3 linked regions of the Arabidopsis thaliana genome follow. The protein of the gene in region 1 interacts with the protein of each later gene in a pairwise test. Each region holds a gene or a part of one and is shown in the gene's direction. Other genes may lie near its edges. The genes, in order: AT1G21280, AT4G19050 and UPL6.

Region 1 (3,164 bases):
AATGAAAGTCATGCACAAGAAGATTCCTCCGTCTGTTTACCAAGCTTATGAGATGGTTGTGTATTCAGAAGCGATGATGAAGTGGAAAATGGGAGGAAGAATTTAGGAATTTGCAGGTCCGTGATTTTAACTTTTTATGCTTTTATAGTGTTTCTTTTTGAAGTGTTTTCGTGTTTTTTGAATCCATATTGGTACATTATCAATGTCATATGGAATTAGATTCGTCAACTGAAATTTTGCATAAGAGCTCTAAATTTGGTTATTTGACTACTGGTTAGTATAACAACTATAGATGATGCACAAAATATTCTCTCAATACATAATTTGATGAGGCAATTACAAAGAAGTAGGATTCATGTTTTACAAACAAAAGACATGTGTGAATTTGTCAGAGCTCCGATGTCCAATATTCTTGATGCTGTCATAACTACGGCTACTGGTATCTCCCTGTGTTGATAATATTCGAACACCGAGCAAGTGTTCAATCTCCCTTGTCTCAGGATACTGATTATGTTTTAATTGTTTTGACTTTCAAGGTCTCTAACTCTGCAGCTACTTCGTTCATCCTTGGCCTTTCCTGTACCCTCAATCGCAAACTTCATATTCTCCTTCTCTTTTTCTCTCTAAATTGGTTTCTCTCATCTCTCCAAAGCATCTGCTTCTTAAATATAAGAAAACACACTCCATTCTTGAGATGTTCTCTTGACTTGGTTCCGTTGACTTGTCCCCACTTTCTCCTACATTAAGGTCCTTAAAGAAAAACACATTACAAAGAGGCAATAGTTTCAACATGTTCGGGTGAGATAGAGACGCAGATATCGTGTATGAGTCATTGAGTCCACATCGGCGACAAAACTCTTTCTCGTCTGCAATTCCATGGAGCCTAACTCTTCTGATGTCTTTTTTCCTACATTGTACTAGAAAATGAAGAAGGGTTGAAGAATGGGTGGGAGAGATTTTGGGGCAAAAATGATTTCACCAGCCTTGTTGGTGCCAGGAGAAGTCATATTGACCAAAGGGAAAGGAAGCTCAAATGTTTGCTTGGACCAACATGTTTCTTGACATTCTCTAGTATCCACAAATCAAAACTAGAGAAGCTTAAAGGGTTTCTAGCAATGGAAGCTAACTTCCCTTTGTATTCTATCAATATTGATTCACACTCCCGAACCAAAACATCCCTAGGCACTTTGATAAAACTTAGCCTCTCATATCTAACATGAAAACACACAATCACCATTCACCGGATCCATTCTTAGTCTAGGGGCCCAAGCACCATAATAGATGGAACCATAGATGCAAAGTCCCTTGGTTACACGGTAATAAGGAGCTTTGGTAAACTGATTACGTGTTTTTGATGTTTCTTGTCCTCCAAAACCAAGATACAGGTCATGTGAAGACACCAGGTTCAACGCTTTGATTAATGACCAACAAGATCATATCCCAATGATGCGCGGGGTCCTTTAATGGGTAAGGTAATCCCTGAAACTTTGGGCTAGGGAGGGGAAATACAAGGCCCATTAAGCCCAACTGTTTACAAAAAATTGCGACTTTTCTTATTTTGGAAAATTATTTCTTTATTTGAGACTAAAAAAGTCAAAATCGAAAGGGATACAAAGCAAGCCCTAGGATTTGGAAGCAGAGAGAGACTCTCAGAGCAGCGACGACAATGGCGGAAACTATCAAGAGCGTATCTCCAACATCAGACCCCGATTCACCGTATTATCTCCCTCCCGATATTCATCATCCCTCCGATTTCTCTATCCAAAAACTCAGCAAAGACGAAGACAACTACGTCGCCTGGAAAATTCGATTTCGCTCTTTCCTCCGAGTCACGAAAAAATTCGGGTTTATCGACGGTACTCTCCCGAAGCCAGACCCTTTCTCTCCGCTCTATCAGCCATGGGAACAATGCAACGCAATGGTTATGTATTGGCTGATGAATTCGATGACCGATAAGCTTCTAGAATCTGTTATGTACGCGGAGACTGCTCATAAAATGTGGGAAGATCTCAGACGTGTATTCGTTCCTTGTGTTGATTTGAAGATTTATCAGCTTCGTCGGAGACTCGCGACGCTCAGGCAAGGTGGTGACTCTGTTGAGGAGTATTTTGGGAAATTGAGTAAAGTTTGGATGGAGTTGTCGGAGTATGCTCCTATACCGGAGTGTAAATGCGGTGGTTGCAATTGCGAGTGTACTAAACGAGCTGAAGAGGCGAGAGAGAAGGAGCAGCGTTACGAGTTTTTGATGGGGTTGAAGTTGAACCAAGGCTTCGAGGCTGTGACGACAAAAATCATGTTCCAGAAACCTCCTCCGTCACTTCACGAAGCTTTCGCTATGGTCAAAGATGCAGAATCGATGATGAAGTGGTACAGTAGATGAAGAATTTAGGAAGCAGGTTTATGATCATAACTTTTCTCTTCTTTGCCTATGTTTTTTTTTGGGATTCTAGTGTTTCTTATTGAGATGTGTTTGAAGCTATATCTGTATATTATCAATCTCATATGGAATTAGATTTTTATGAACTAAAATTTAACACAAGAGTTTTAAATTTGCCAATAACCAGATCGGTTACTGGTTAGTATACCAAGTAAAGGAAAATATGAACATGATTATTGATGATGTACAAACAAATCTGTCAAAGCATTATTGATGAAGCAACAAGGAAATGACTTTCTTTTTTTACAAACAAAAGATATACATGTGATTTTGTCAGAGCATTAATATCAACGGCCAGCTTCAATGTCCAATGTTGTTACATTTCTGATGCTGTCATAGCCAATGCTGCTACTGGTTTCGCCTTGTGCTGACAAGATTTGAACGCCGAGCAAGTGTTCAATCTCCCCTGTCTCACGATACTGATCCGACCACTTATATTTAGTTGTTTTAACTCTCAAGGCCTCTAACTCTGCAGCTACTTCTTTCATCCTTGGCCTTTCCTCTCCCATTAGCCTTGTACACTCTGCAGCAATTCTTGCAGCTTCCTGGATCTCTCTCTGGTTATCCTCATTCATCACTTGCCCATCAATAATTTCATGGAACCTATTATTCTTTGTGGCAGAAGCAAAACAACTCACAAGATTTTTTGGGCAATGTGGTCTTTCGAAACACAATGCCTTTTGACCTGAGAGCAGTTCCATTAGGACGACCCCAAAACTATAAACAT
Region 2 (6,556 bases), on another chromosome or scaffold:
CGGCAGCAGTAAAAAAGGGCGGCCTAAGGCGAACCGTGTGGAGACAAGCTCTGAGCTTCCGGATCACCTCATTCGTGGTTTCATTAACGAGAAACTGTTCTTGAAGAACTTCTTGCTGAAGCAAAAGGAATCCGAAGAGTTCAAGACTCTAGCAATTGTGGGGAAATACGGAGTTGGGAAAACGACATTGTGTCAGGCTGTGTTCAACGACGAAGATGTTAAGCAAGTTTATTTCCCGAGGATATGGGTTTCTATGTACAGCAAAGAAACAAAAGAAGACGAAGATCCCAAGATAGATGTTGTGAAGAGGATCTTGAGATCCCTTGGAGTTGAAGATGAGATGTTTAAACACATCAAAACAGAAGCAGAAGAAGAGAAGAGTATCAAAGATGAAGCTGGGGAAAGAGAGGAAGAGACGGTCAAAGAAAAGGAGCTTGCTCGATTATTGTATGCTCTTCACTTGAATCTGATTGGGAAGAAGTATCTGATAGTGTTGGATGATGTTTGGGAAGACAACGAGTGGGATCAAAGGCTCGATGATGAGAAGAAGCAACAGGAAAAATCACATCTTTCTTGTGGGTTTCCTAAAGGGTTTGGTGGGAAAGTGATTATGACTAGCAGAGACGAGAGATTGGCGAAGGCGATAGTCGGAGAAGAAGAGAATCTGCAGCGTTTGTTTCCAAGATCCGATGCAGAGAGCTTGTGGGAGATTTACATTGATGCAGTACCCACCAAGGTGGACGATGCAGCAGCCACGAATTTGGGCGATGCAGTAGCCACAAATGCGGGCGATGCAGTAGCCCCGAAAGTGAATCCGAGGTATCCGGGAAGATACAAACAAGAGCTTATGGATAAGTCTTGTGGTATTCCTTTGGCTGCTCGAATGCTGGCGAAGATTGAGCCTGTGAAAGTGGATGAAATTGGAAACATAGATAGGAAGCAGAGCTTCTAACTTCTAACGCAATATCTATGTATTTACTATTTACTCTCTGATATAAGGAAGCTATTCAAGATTACTATATAAAGTTATTTTATTGTTCTAGAAACTGTTAAGAGTTGTCACTTGTGTGAGTGTAAACCTATGGCAGTTAATAAAGATTAAAAAGAGATTTTAATACATATTTTTATCATCTTAGAGTTTCACGATTTTCTTGAGATTGATCCTCGTAGCTTGTTGATGATGATTTGTGGATTAAAAACCACGACATAGCGTATTGCGGAAGTGCTGCTTGAACTACCGATTTGACAGAGGACCTCTTGGATAATTTTCATTTCTAAGCTTTTAGACACTTTACTTATACATATCTAAAACTACTAGTTATTTTGGAAATTTGGAAAAATGATAATGGTATTTTTTTACTATCACGTGTGAAAATTCCTCTTAAAGAATACTGATCTTTCAAAGTACTTCAATTTTGAAAGAAGTAATGAAACAGTATTAGAATATTAATTTCCTTTCAGCTTAAGAGAAGTGGCAGATTCTCCCTAGAAATATGTTAAGTTAAACATCTGTACCCTCACTTTTGTAAAACCTGTATCACATATCACCAAACATAAGTAGAACAAAGGATCATCAAAAGACAAAAAAACTAGAGCAATACATGTGATTAGCATGTAACTTTTTCCTTTGTATGTAATAAGGAAAGAAAAGTTTTTGCTTGTGTAGTAAACAATTCCAAAAGTCATATATTCGAAAAATATAGGGGCATAATTGTTACTCTGAATTCTGAAATAATAAGGGTGAATAATTATTGGAAGAATCTAATATTTATACTTGGCGTTTTTGTTTCGACAGAGTGTAATCTAAAACTTGAATTTTGTTATTGTTGTTTTACAAAATCAGGATAGGCTTGACATGGAAGTTATCGGAGCTGGACTTGTATAAATAAGTGAATCAATCAACGAAGGATAACAAAACAAAACATAAACAAAAACTAGAAAGAAAAAACTATCAGTGGAGAAAACTAATCTGATTAAGTCACTCTAAACAATTAAGGTTCTTCTCATACCTCTCTCTTTGTTTCGAATTTTAAATTTTAGTTTTGTATTGTTAGTTGATATTTGTCATATATTGCATGGATATATAGGGGTAGTGTGGTATACTCTCTGAATACATCTCTTAAGTTCATAAAAATAAAGTTACTATCCTAGTAGCAATCTCAATAATTTTGTTTAACAATGATCTCTTCAAGAAAACTCAAATCAAAGGTTTAAATATTTCCTCTCTCATTTTTTATTTTCCTAGAGATGGAGAAGCAAGATCAAACAAGCAGAGAAGAGATTCTGAAGAAGATAATGGATTCATTGGGACAAGACGGTGTACCTTCAAAAACCGTCCTCGTTGGTGAAGCTGGTATAGGGAAGACATGGCTTGCAAAAGAAGTCAGCCAACGTGTTACTCAAGAAAAGTACAATGTCCTCTGGTTACACCTGAACAAAAAGATTGAAGACGAGAAGTCGCTTTACGAGATTCTAGCTGCTCAGTTGTCGATAATTTACGAGTTTGAAGAAGGCGAAGAACCTGATGAGCTTGATTATCCATTGGAGAGCTTGAAAGAGAAGATTAAAGAAGAGATGATCAAACACAAGAAGGATAATCTTCTGTTGATTTTGGATGATGAAGGAAGTATGACAACTGAAGAAGATGTGATGCAAGAATTAAACCTCCAAGATTTTCTTAAGGAGTACTCGGCTGTGAAGATTCTAGTCACAAGAAGAGATGAAAGAGAGGAGAAAGAATCCACAACGATCAAAGTCGGTCCGCTTACAGAAAAGGAGTCATTGGACTTACTCCACGATGCCGAGGACTTACTTACATCATTTACCTCTGAAGATTGGCCTGTTCTGCTAAAGAGACTTTGCGATAACAAAGAGATCAAAGAACCTACTTTGATGTCTTGCATTTTAAGCAAGAGCAAGGGCTTACCAGCTGCGATCGTTGTCTTAATCAAGTCTTTAAACAGCATTAAGTCGATGTCTGCGAAGCAGAGGAAGATCTTTAAAGAACTGATTCTATCTTCCAAGTCATTAGATGAAGCAGCTGCTTCCAAGAACGCTATAGATCGCAGCCGCTACAATCCTGTCTTGCAATTAAGCTACGAGCTGTTAAAGCCTGACGAGACGGTCAAACGTCCGGTGATTGCTTGCTTTTGGCATATCTTGGACTTCTACAAGTACTCTGGATGCGCTTACTACCGTGACCTAATAGTGCATTGGATGCTTGAAGGGTATTTTGATCCGGTTAAGTCAGTTGACAAAGCTTACCAAGAAGGACATTCCATTTTAATGGACTTTATGAACAGAGGAATCTTGAAAATACAAGAAGACAACATGGTGGTTCCAGAGTTCTCCATGAGCAACCTATTAGATCTTCAAGATTGTGGATTCTTTGGAAGATCTTCTCTTGGATTTGACAGAGTTTACGGTGGAGACAAGAGAAAGGGGCTAGGGAAAATCATCTTGATCGATGATATGATACAGACAATTCAATCGAAGAAGAAGAATATCACGACGATTATCGCTAGCGGAAACCGTTTACGTAGAGAGGTTCATGGGAAGTTCTTTGAGAAACCAGAGATGCAAGATCTTGAAGTTGTAGTCCTCTTTGAGCCAACGTTCCATGAACTTGTTCTGTCTTTATCTAAGCTAAAGAAACTCCGAGTACTTGTTATCAGAGACTGTGATCTAATCGATAACATCGATAAGCTCAGTGGTCTTCAAGGCCTACATGTTCTTGAAGTCTCTGGTGCTAGCTCTCTAGTTAACATCCCTGATGATTTCTTCAAGAACATGACTCAGCTTCAAAGCCTTAATCTTTCGGGACTTGCAATCAAATCTTCGCCTTCCACAATCGAAAAGCTAAGCATGCTTCGTTGCTTCATCCTAAGGCACTGCTCTGAGCTACAAGATCTGCCTAACTTCATTGTGGAAACAAGAAAACTTGAAGTTATTGACATTCACGGAGCTAGGAAACTTGAGTCTTACTTTGATAGAGTTAAAGATTGGAAGGACTATAAAGGCAAGAACAAGAACTTTGCTCAGCTTCAGCTGCTTGAACACCTAGACTTCTCAGAGACTAAAATCATCCGTCTGCCGATATTTCATCTCAAAGACTCTACTAACGATTTCAGTACTATGCCAATCTTGACCCGGCTCTTGCTGAGAAACTGTACAAGGCTTAAGAGATTGCCACAGCTTAGGCCTTTGACTAATCTTCAGATTCTTGATGCATGTGGTGCTACAGACTTAGTGGAGATGCTTGAAGTGTGTTTAGAGGAGAAGAAAGAGCTTAGGATCCTCGATATGTCAAAGACAAGTCTTCCCGAGTTAGCCGACACGATTGCTGATGTTGTCAATCTCAATAAGCTTCTGTTAAGGAATTGCTCACTGATTGAAGAGCTTCCAAGCATTGAGAAACTGACACACCTTGAAGTTTTCGACGTTTCTGGTTGCATTAAGTTGAAGAATATCAATGGATCCTTTGGGGAGATGTCTTACCTCCATGAAGTGAATCTTTCAGAAACTAATCTTAGTGAGTTACCTGACAAAATCTCAGAGCTATCTAACCTTAAGGAGCTCATCATAAGAAAATGTTCCAAGCTAAAGACTCTTCCAAACCTTGAGAAGCTAACAAATCTTGAGATCTTCGATGTTTCGGGCTGCACCGAGTTGGAAACAATCGAGGGATCATTCGAGAATCTGTCTTGCCTCCACAAAGTGAATCTTTCGGAAACTAATCTTGGTGAGTTACCTAACAAAATCTCAGAGCTATCTAACCTCAAAGAGCTCATCCTAAGAAACTGTTCTAAGCTAAAGGCTCTTCCAAATCTTGAGAAGCTAACACATCTAGTGATCTTCGATGTTTCGGGATGCACCAATCTGGATAAAATCGAGGAATCATTCGAGAGTATGTCTTACCTTTGCGAGGTTAATCTCTCTGGGACTAATCTGAAAACGTTTCCTGAGTTGCCAAAACAGAGCATCCTCTGTTCTTCAAAACGTATTGTTCTCGCGGATTCGAGTTGTATAGAGCGAGACCAGTGGAGCCAAATAAAAGAGTGTTTAACAAGTAAGTCAGAGGGCTCTAGCTTCTCTAATGTAGGGGAAAAAACCCGCGAGAAACTTCTTTATCACGGCAATAGATACAGAGTTATTGATCCTGAAGTTCCTTTGAATATCGATATTGTTGACATCAAAAGATCCACTGATCTTAAAACAGAGTATATAGCCAAAGCAGAGTATGTCTCTATAGCAGAGAATGGATCCAAAAGCGTATCTTCTCTCTTCGACGAGTTGCAGATGGCATCGGTAAAAGGTTGTTGGGTAGAGAGGTGCAAGAACATGGATGTTCTCTTCGAATCAGATGAACAACTAGAGAAAGAGAAATCATCATCACCATCATTGCAGACTCTTTGGATCTCAAATCTTCCATTGCTAACAAGCTTATACAGTAGTAAAGGAGGATTCATTTTCAAGAACCTTAAGAAGCTAAGCGTAGATTGTTGTCCAAGCATCAAATGGCTATTCCCGGAGATTCCTGATAACCTTGAGATTCTTCGTGTGAAGTTCTGTGATAAGTTGGAGAGATTGTTTGAAGTAAAAGCAGGAGAATTATCGAAGCTTCGTAAGCTTCACCTTCTTGATTTGCCTGTTTTATCAGTACTTGGAGCTAATTTCCCGAATCTGGAGAAATGCACAATTGAGAAATGTCCGAAATTGAAAGCTAGAGAAGATGAACCGAGGATTGGAGCAAGGATTACAGATGAAATTTCAGAGGATCAACCTCACAAGTAAGTGAAGTTAACAACTAAACAAATCGAAACTTTATTTTGTTTTCACACTCTCTGTTCTGTTCTTCTTCATGTGCAGGAATACTATTGGGCCTGAAACCCAAACTCCTACCCAGCCCACAAAAGCTACAGACACAGTTTAATCTCTCTGTTCTTCTTCACACGACGAGGATGAAGAAACAAAATTTCCGCTGATCTTATATTATCTCACCGTTAATAATTATCCAAGTCTTGAACTTTGACAGAGCTTGTAATTCGAAACTTTTCAAAATGGTTACTTTGTGTTGTGTTGTGTGAACTCTTAAAATAAAGAATAAATGAATGTTATTTTATTTTTAGTCGTCTTCAAGTTTTGGTCTGCGATCGTGAAATTTACGCAGAGAGAGATCAGAATCGAAGAAAACATTGCAATATAAAAGAGTCACCTTCGAGTTCGTGTCTCACTCCGATAAAGCAATGAGTCTATTCGGGCTTGGAAGGTGAATTACTGATTCCTCTCCGTAATTTGTCCGAAAAAAGAGAGTATTTTTTCTAGAGATTTCGAGATTGTTTGTTATCTCAGATCTTTCGAATAGTTATTCCTGATTGGGTATTAATATTTCAATATGTTGATTTTTGTGGATTTGCTGAGTAATGGTTGTGAATGAAGATTTGATTGTTCAATTTTTCTATTATTCAGAACTTGATGGAACCAATGTTAACTTACTACCATTGTCAATGTGTCCTGAATGATTCTTGTCAAAATCTTGTTCAAGTTAATGTAGAAT
Region 3 (4,703 bases), on another chromosome or scaffold:
GATTTCAGAGTGTTCTATTGACTATAGTGGAAAAGAAAAGCTAATAATTAACCCATAATAAAAAATATATAGTTGACTAATTACAAGTGAATTGGAATTCTGTTTTCAGCCAAACTTATAATATTTTTTTAATCAAATGAAATTTATGAATTGGTTTCTTTCTTACATATTATGAAACATTAAATTCGAGTCAGCAACTTGAATTTCAAAAGTACAGCTTCTCGATCAGTCTGTCTACTCGACAGGGAATGGGTAACTTTTTTTTTAACTTACGCAATGCATGTTGTGTGTGCAGTGTGTATAACGCTAACTTATATCAACAATAAAAAAAATCCTTTTTTCCTTTTTTTTCCCCCCCCTGAAACTGTTATGCTTTCGAAATTTCACTTATCTCTCTGACGTGTTTAGTTTCATCCTAAAAGTGTATATATATATAGCTTAATGTTTCTATGTTTTCTCTTATCTTATAATATATGTATTTCTTATAATGAGCAACTCGTGATGATGTATGATATGTCTGTTTGACAGCTCTGCGGTGACGTGTTACGTAGAAGCAATTAAGCAGTTGGCGTGTGAGATCTTAGACCTCACGGCTGAAGGACTACGGCTCCCACCTCATACCTTCAGCAAGTTAATCAGAGCCGTTGATAGCGACTCAGTTCTCAGGCTTAATCACTACCCATCATCCAATCAATTCCTTAGTGGAGCCAAGGTTTCTGATATGTCTGTGTCATTACCGAGAGTTGGCTTCGGGGAACACACAGACCCTCAGATCTTGACAGTCCTTAGATCCAATAGAGTAGGGGGCCTCCAGGTGGCATTCCCTGACGGAAGGTGGGTCTCTGTCTCCCCTGACCCTTCAACCTTTTGCGTAAACGTTGGCGATCTTTTGCAGGTCAGTCCCTATATTCATTACCCATTTGATTCTGTATATGTTACTTTAAAAAAAAAAAAAGGTTTTCAGGTGCTACTTGAAAAACTTAAAATGCAGGAATCTAACTATTTAATAATACATATCAACATGTAAGAATCTACTAAGATTCTATAAATTTCCACAACTATTATAACTAAAATATTAATCGATGCAAAATTTCTAGGTGATGACGAATGGGAGATTCTTAAGCGTACGACACAGAGCGGTGACTACCGGACATGCAAGCAGGCTATCGATGGCGTACTTTGCCGGTCCATCCGTCCATGCAAAGATAGGCCCTATTCCGGGAATCATCCCGGCGGCAGAACAGCCACGGCTTTACCGGACGTTCACATGGGCTGACTACAAGAAGTTTGCTTACTCGCTAAGCCTTGGAGATAACCGTCTTGACATTTTCCGCTCATGTGTCGATGAGCATGATGAATTGGGCTTCTAGTAATATAACTGAATTGGGCTTCTAGGAATATCACTGAATTTGGGCTAAAAGGCCGAAAGAAACTTCTTGTAGTTGGTAAGGTAACTATGAATCAAAAAGTAGGACCACATTTTGTATGGGAAATTTGCAATTCAATTCTATTATTTTGGTGTCTATTATACAACTCGAATTAAACAATTCGTACATGATATTGAAAATCACCATAAAGATGAGAAACCATAACACCAGTGATGTTACAAAAAATAAAATCAACCAACCAACCAATAGACACAATTTTTTTCCCGTGTAACACGAGACGACCCAATTATTCGTCTTCCTCAAAAAGACTCGAAAACGACGTCGTATTGAATTCACCACTCACGAAGTTTCCGTCTTCGTTGTTGAGAGTCGGCTTCCGAAAACTATCTTTCTTAATTGCTTTGGTTCCTTGCCTTGCCTTGCTCCTCAGAAATTTTTGCTTCTGTTTGATTTTGTTTTTGCCCCTTTGCACACATATCATCCAAATTCGTTATCATTTTTCACCTTTGAAAGAATCTATCTCCTTGCTCTGTTATCTCCAGTTCTAGGGCATACGCCGATCACATCCCTAGCTCCTTTTGGCTCTAATAATACAGTAATCTTAGGTTTTCGGGGAGTGAATCGTGTATTGGTATTCTAGTTTTAGCTCAAGAACATGTTTTTCTCCGGCGATCCTTCGACTCGGAAGCGAGTTGATTTAGGTGGCCGGAGCACCAAGGAGAGAGATGCTCGGAAGCTTCTCGAGCAGACTAGAATGGAGCGTAATCGTCGGTTACTACAGAAGCAGCAGAACTCTGCTGCTCTCAAAATTCAGGTTTGCGATTGAAAAGCCTTTTCTTTTGGGACTCTGGGATTTTATTTGTGTTTTCTGAGCAATGTAGAACGAACACAGTGAGTCATTTTGCAAGATATGTAGAACTTTTGAGCTAAATAATGTTTACTTTTTATAGTTTTGAGGTTTAGTTGGAAATTGAACCGACATTTTCCTTTGTAGATGTTATTCTAAATCTCCATTGTCCTCGTTAGATTTAGCCTCTGGAACAAATTTATCCTGTTACGGTGTCCTGCGGTACAGGTCTTGTGGATTTTTGTTTTGAGTAGTAGTTTTTAAGATTGAACTATTGCGATTACAAAATGTGAGCTTGAGCTGCAAATGCAACACTTCAAAGTGTTTCTTTTTTTCTTCTATTATGTGGACAAGTGCATTTGTTGTGGGTAAAGGGAAAAAGTTTTTCAATCATTTATGCTCCTGATGGGCATGGTGCTGACTAGTTTTTGGCTACAGAAATTCTTTAGAGGTCGAAGATCAATGGCCATTGAGCGCTCGAAGGTGCGGCATGATTTCTGTGAAACCTATGGGAATAATTGCCAGAATGTTGATAGGTACTTTTTCTTTGGTCTATTATGTTTGCTATAGTTTTTTTTTGGTCTTTAAATGGTTCTATGGTTAATTAGTTGTATATTTTTTTGCCTACATCCAGACATTGCTTTGAGCCAGGTTCAAGTTTCCTCCGGCAGTTTCTGTTTTTTTTCAAGGCACAAAACTCGGGAGATTTTGTGATACTTGTGGAGACTTGTCGTCTACTGCAGAGTTTCGTTGACAGCAGTGGTATTTCCAATATCTATGCCTGCTTCTTTTGTTGACACTTTTGTTCAATTCATTCATGGGTTTGATCAACGTGCTTTTCCTTTCTTGGTAACTCTTATGTAAGGGGAAGCATGTTCCAAGTCTTCATTTTGCTTAATCAGTCTTTTTATGGCGTTCATACTCTTATTTATTATGTTTATCTTACGAGCAACAAACTTAAAACATTGTGTGAGTCATATCCCTTGCACCACAAATTAAAGTCTCCTGTTTGCTGTTTACATCCTCACACATATAGACTGCCTTAATATTATTTTTGCTTCACAGACAATTTTTTCTCTAGTTTCTTTTCGAAGATGACTGGGATCTTGCTTACTGATGTATTACAGTTCTCATCATATGACAGGTGACATTGTCAGCCTTTTTTCTGGCTTGGACTATTCTTCTGAGCATAATTTGGTGGATTTTAGAGTAAAGAAACTTGCATTTACCTGTATCGAGGCGATACACCAGAATAGGTAATATATATATTTTTGTCATCTCTCATTTTGTAGAGCATATCCAAGCAATAGCCCTTCTTCTTTCAAAATGTGACCAACTATTGCTATCTTGGCTTTTTCAGTTCTGTTATTAAAATATTCAGTTTTGCCTCTTTCTGATTTGAATCATCAGGAACCGTTTAAGGGATCAGCTCTTAGTTACTCCTGAAGAAGCTAGCATTTCAACAGCTATCTTGATGGAGGCAGTTTCGTTGTTGCTAGATCCTAAGCTGCCTTGGGTCTGCAAAATAGTTAGTTATCTACAAAAAAGAAAAGTATTCAAACTGGTCCGAGAAATGGTCACTACGGCTAAGGTATTTTCAGCAGTTCCCCATGATTATGCCCCACCACCTAGTTGGCAATCTAAACTTTTGAAGCAATTGTGGTTTGTTGCAGGAAAGCCCAAGAGGTAAGACTATGACCGGCAACATCCTTTCACTAGAAAGAGTATTGATACTGATAGTACCACATATTGGCCGTGAGCCATGTTGCTGCACTGTTGTTGATCCACGTTGGAGTTTCTCATCTATGATTCTTACAATACCTTTGATATGGAAGCTCTTCCCAAACTTGAAAGTGGTTGGTTCCTGAACTCATATTTTTTAGTTACGGATATACGCTAATCAAAATATATGTAAAATCGTTGAGGCTAAATGATAGCTTTTGGTTTCTTACAATTTTGTGTTTGACCCTGAGCTAAATATTATCTCAACTGTGAGCATCTATTTAAACTTTGGTAAACTCATAGTTTCATTGTCCAGGTATTTGCCAACCCGAGTCTAAGTCAACACTACATTCACCAGATGGCTTCCTGTATTCAAAAGGATACCTGTGTTCTCCCAATGGAAACAAGCCCAGAATTCCCTGGTTATGCTTGCCTACTTGGTAACACGTTGGACACTGCAAACGTGGTGTTGTCACAGCCTGAATGTTCATTGGACATGGTAGGTTCCTTATGTAGTCGATTTATTGTATTTGGGTGTGTTTGTGTTAGCTACTGTGGTTGGTATCTTAGTGCATGTTTACTTAATTTTTTCCTTTTCTCGACAGTGAATTTCACTTTGCGGTGTTCATGTATAGTAGATTTGTGAATAGGTACCTTGTGCTCAATAGTCAACAGCTTATGTCATATATTGAGCATTATCTTCTATATTTAATATGAGTTTAGTGTTTGGCTACAGGTGATAGTGC

Evidence for each region.
Region 2: the proteins of AT1G21280 (region 1) and AT4G19050 interact in a two-hybrid assay, tested with the Arabidopsis thaliana proteins (one large-scale study listed by BioGRID).
Region 3: the proteins of AT1G21280 (region 1) and UPL6 interact in a two-hybrid assay, tested with the Arabidopsis thaliana proteins (one large-scale study listed by BioGRID).

The regions. Positions count from the first base shown.
Region 1 is NC_003070.9:7,446,906-7,450,069, reverse strand, and holds AT1G21280 (Copia-like polyprotein/retrotransposon), read left to right. Parts: upstream 1-1,586; 5' UTR 1,587-1,666; coding exon 1,667-2,380; 3' UTR 2,381-2,580; downstream 2,581-3,164. Other genes in the region: WAK2 (wall-associated kinase 2), read right to left, coding at 2,725-3,164.
Region 2 is NC_003075.7:10,439,478-10,446,033, reverse strand, and holds AT4G19050 (NB-ARC domain-containing disease resistance protein), read left to right. Parts: upstream 1-1,912; 5' UTR 1,913-1,996; intron 1,997-2,245; 5' UTR 2,246-2,247; coding exon 2,248-5,789; intron 5,790-5,868; coding exon 5,869-5,932; 3' UTR 5,933-6,050; downstream 6,051-6,556. Other genes in the region: AT4G19060 (P-loop containing nucleoside triphosphate hydrolases superfamily protein), read left to right, coding at 1-952; AT4G19045 (Mob1/phocein family protein), read left to right, coding at 6,246-6,268. UniProt on the Arabidopsis thaliana protein: Potential disease resistance protein.
Region 3 is NC_003074.8:5,871,485-5,876,187, forward strand, and holds the start of UPL6 (ubiquitin protein ligase 6), read left to right. Parts: upstream 1-1,566; 5' UTR 1,567-2,043; coding exon 2,044-2,202; intron 2,203-2,673; coding exon 2,674-2,771; intron 2,772-2,869; coding exon 2,870-2,997; intron 2,998-3,379; coding exon 3,380-3,491; intron 3,492-3,645; coding exon 3,646-3,826; intron 3,827-3,908; coding exon 3,909-4,091; intron 4,092-4,273; coding exon 4,274-4,456; intron 4,457-4,703. UniProt on the Arabidopsis thaliana protein: Probable E3 ubiquitin-protein ligase which mediates ubiquitination and subsequent proteasomal degradation of target proteins.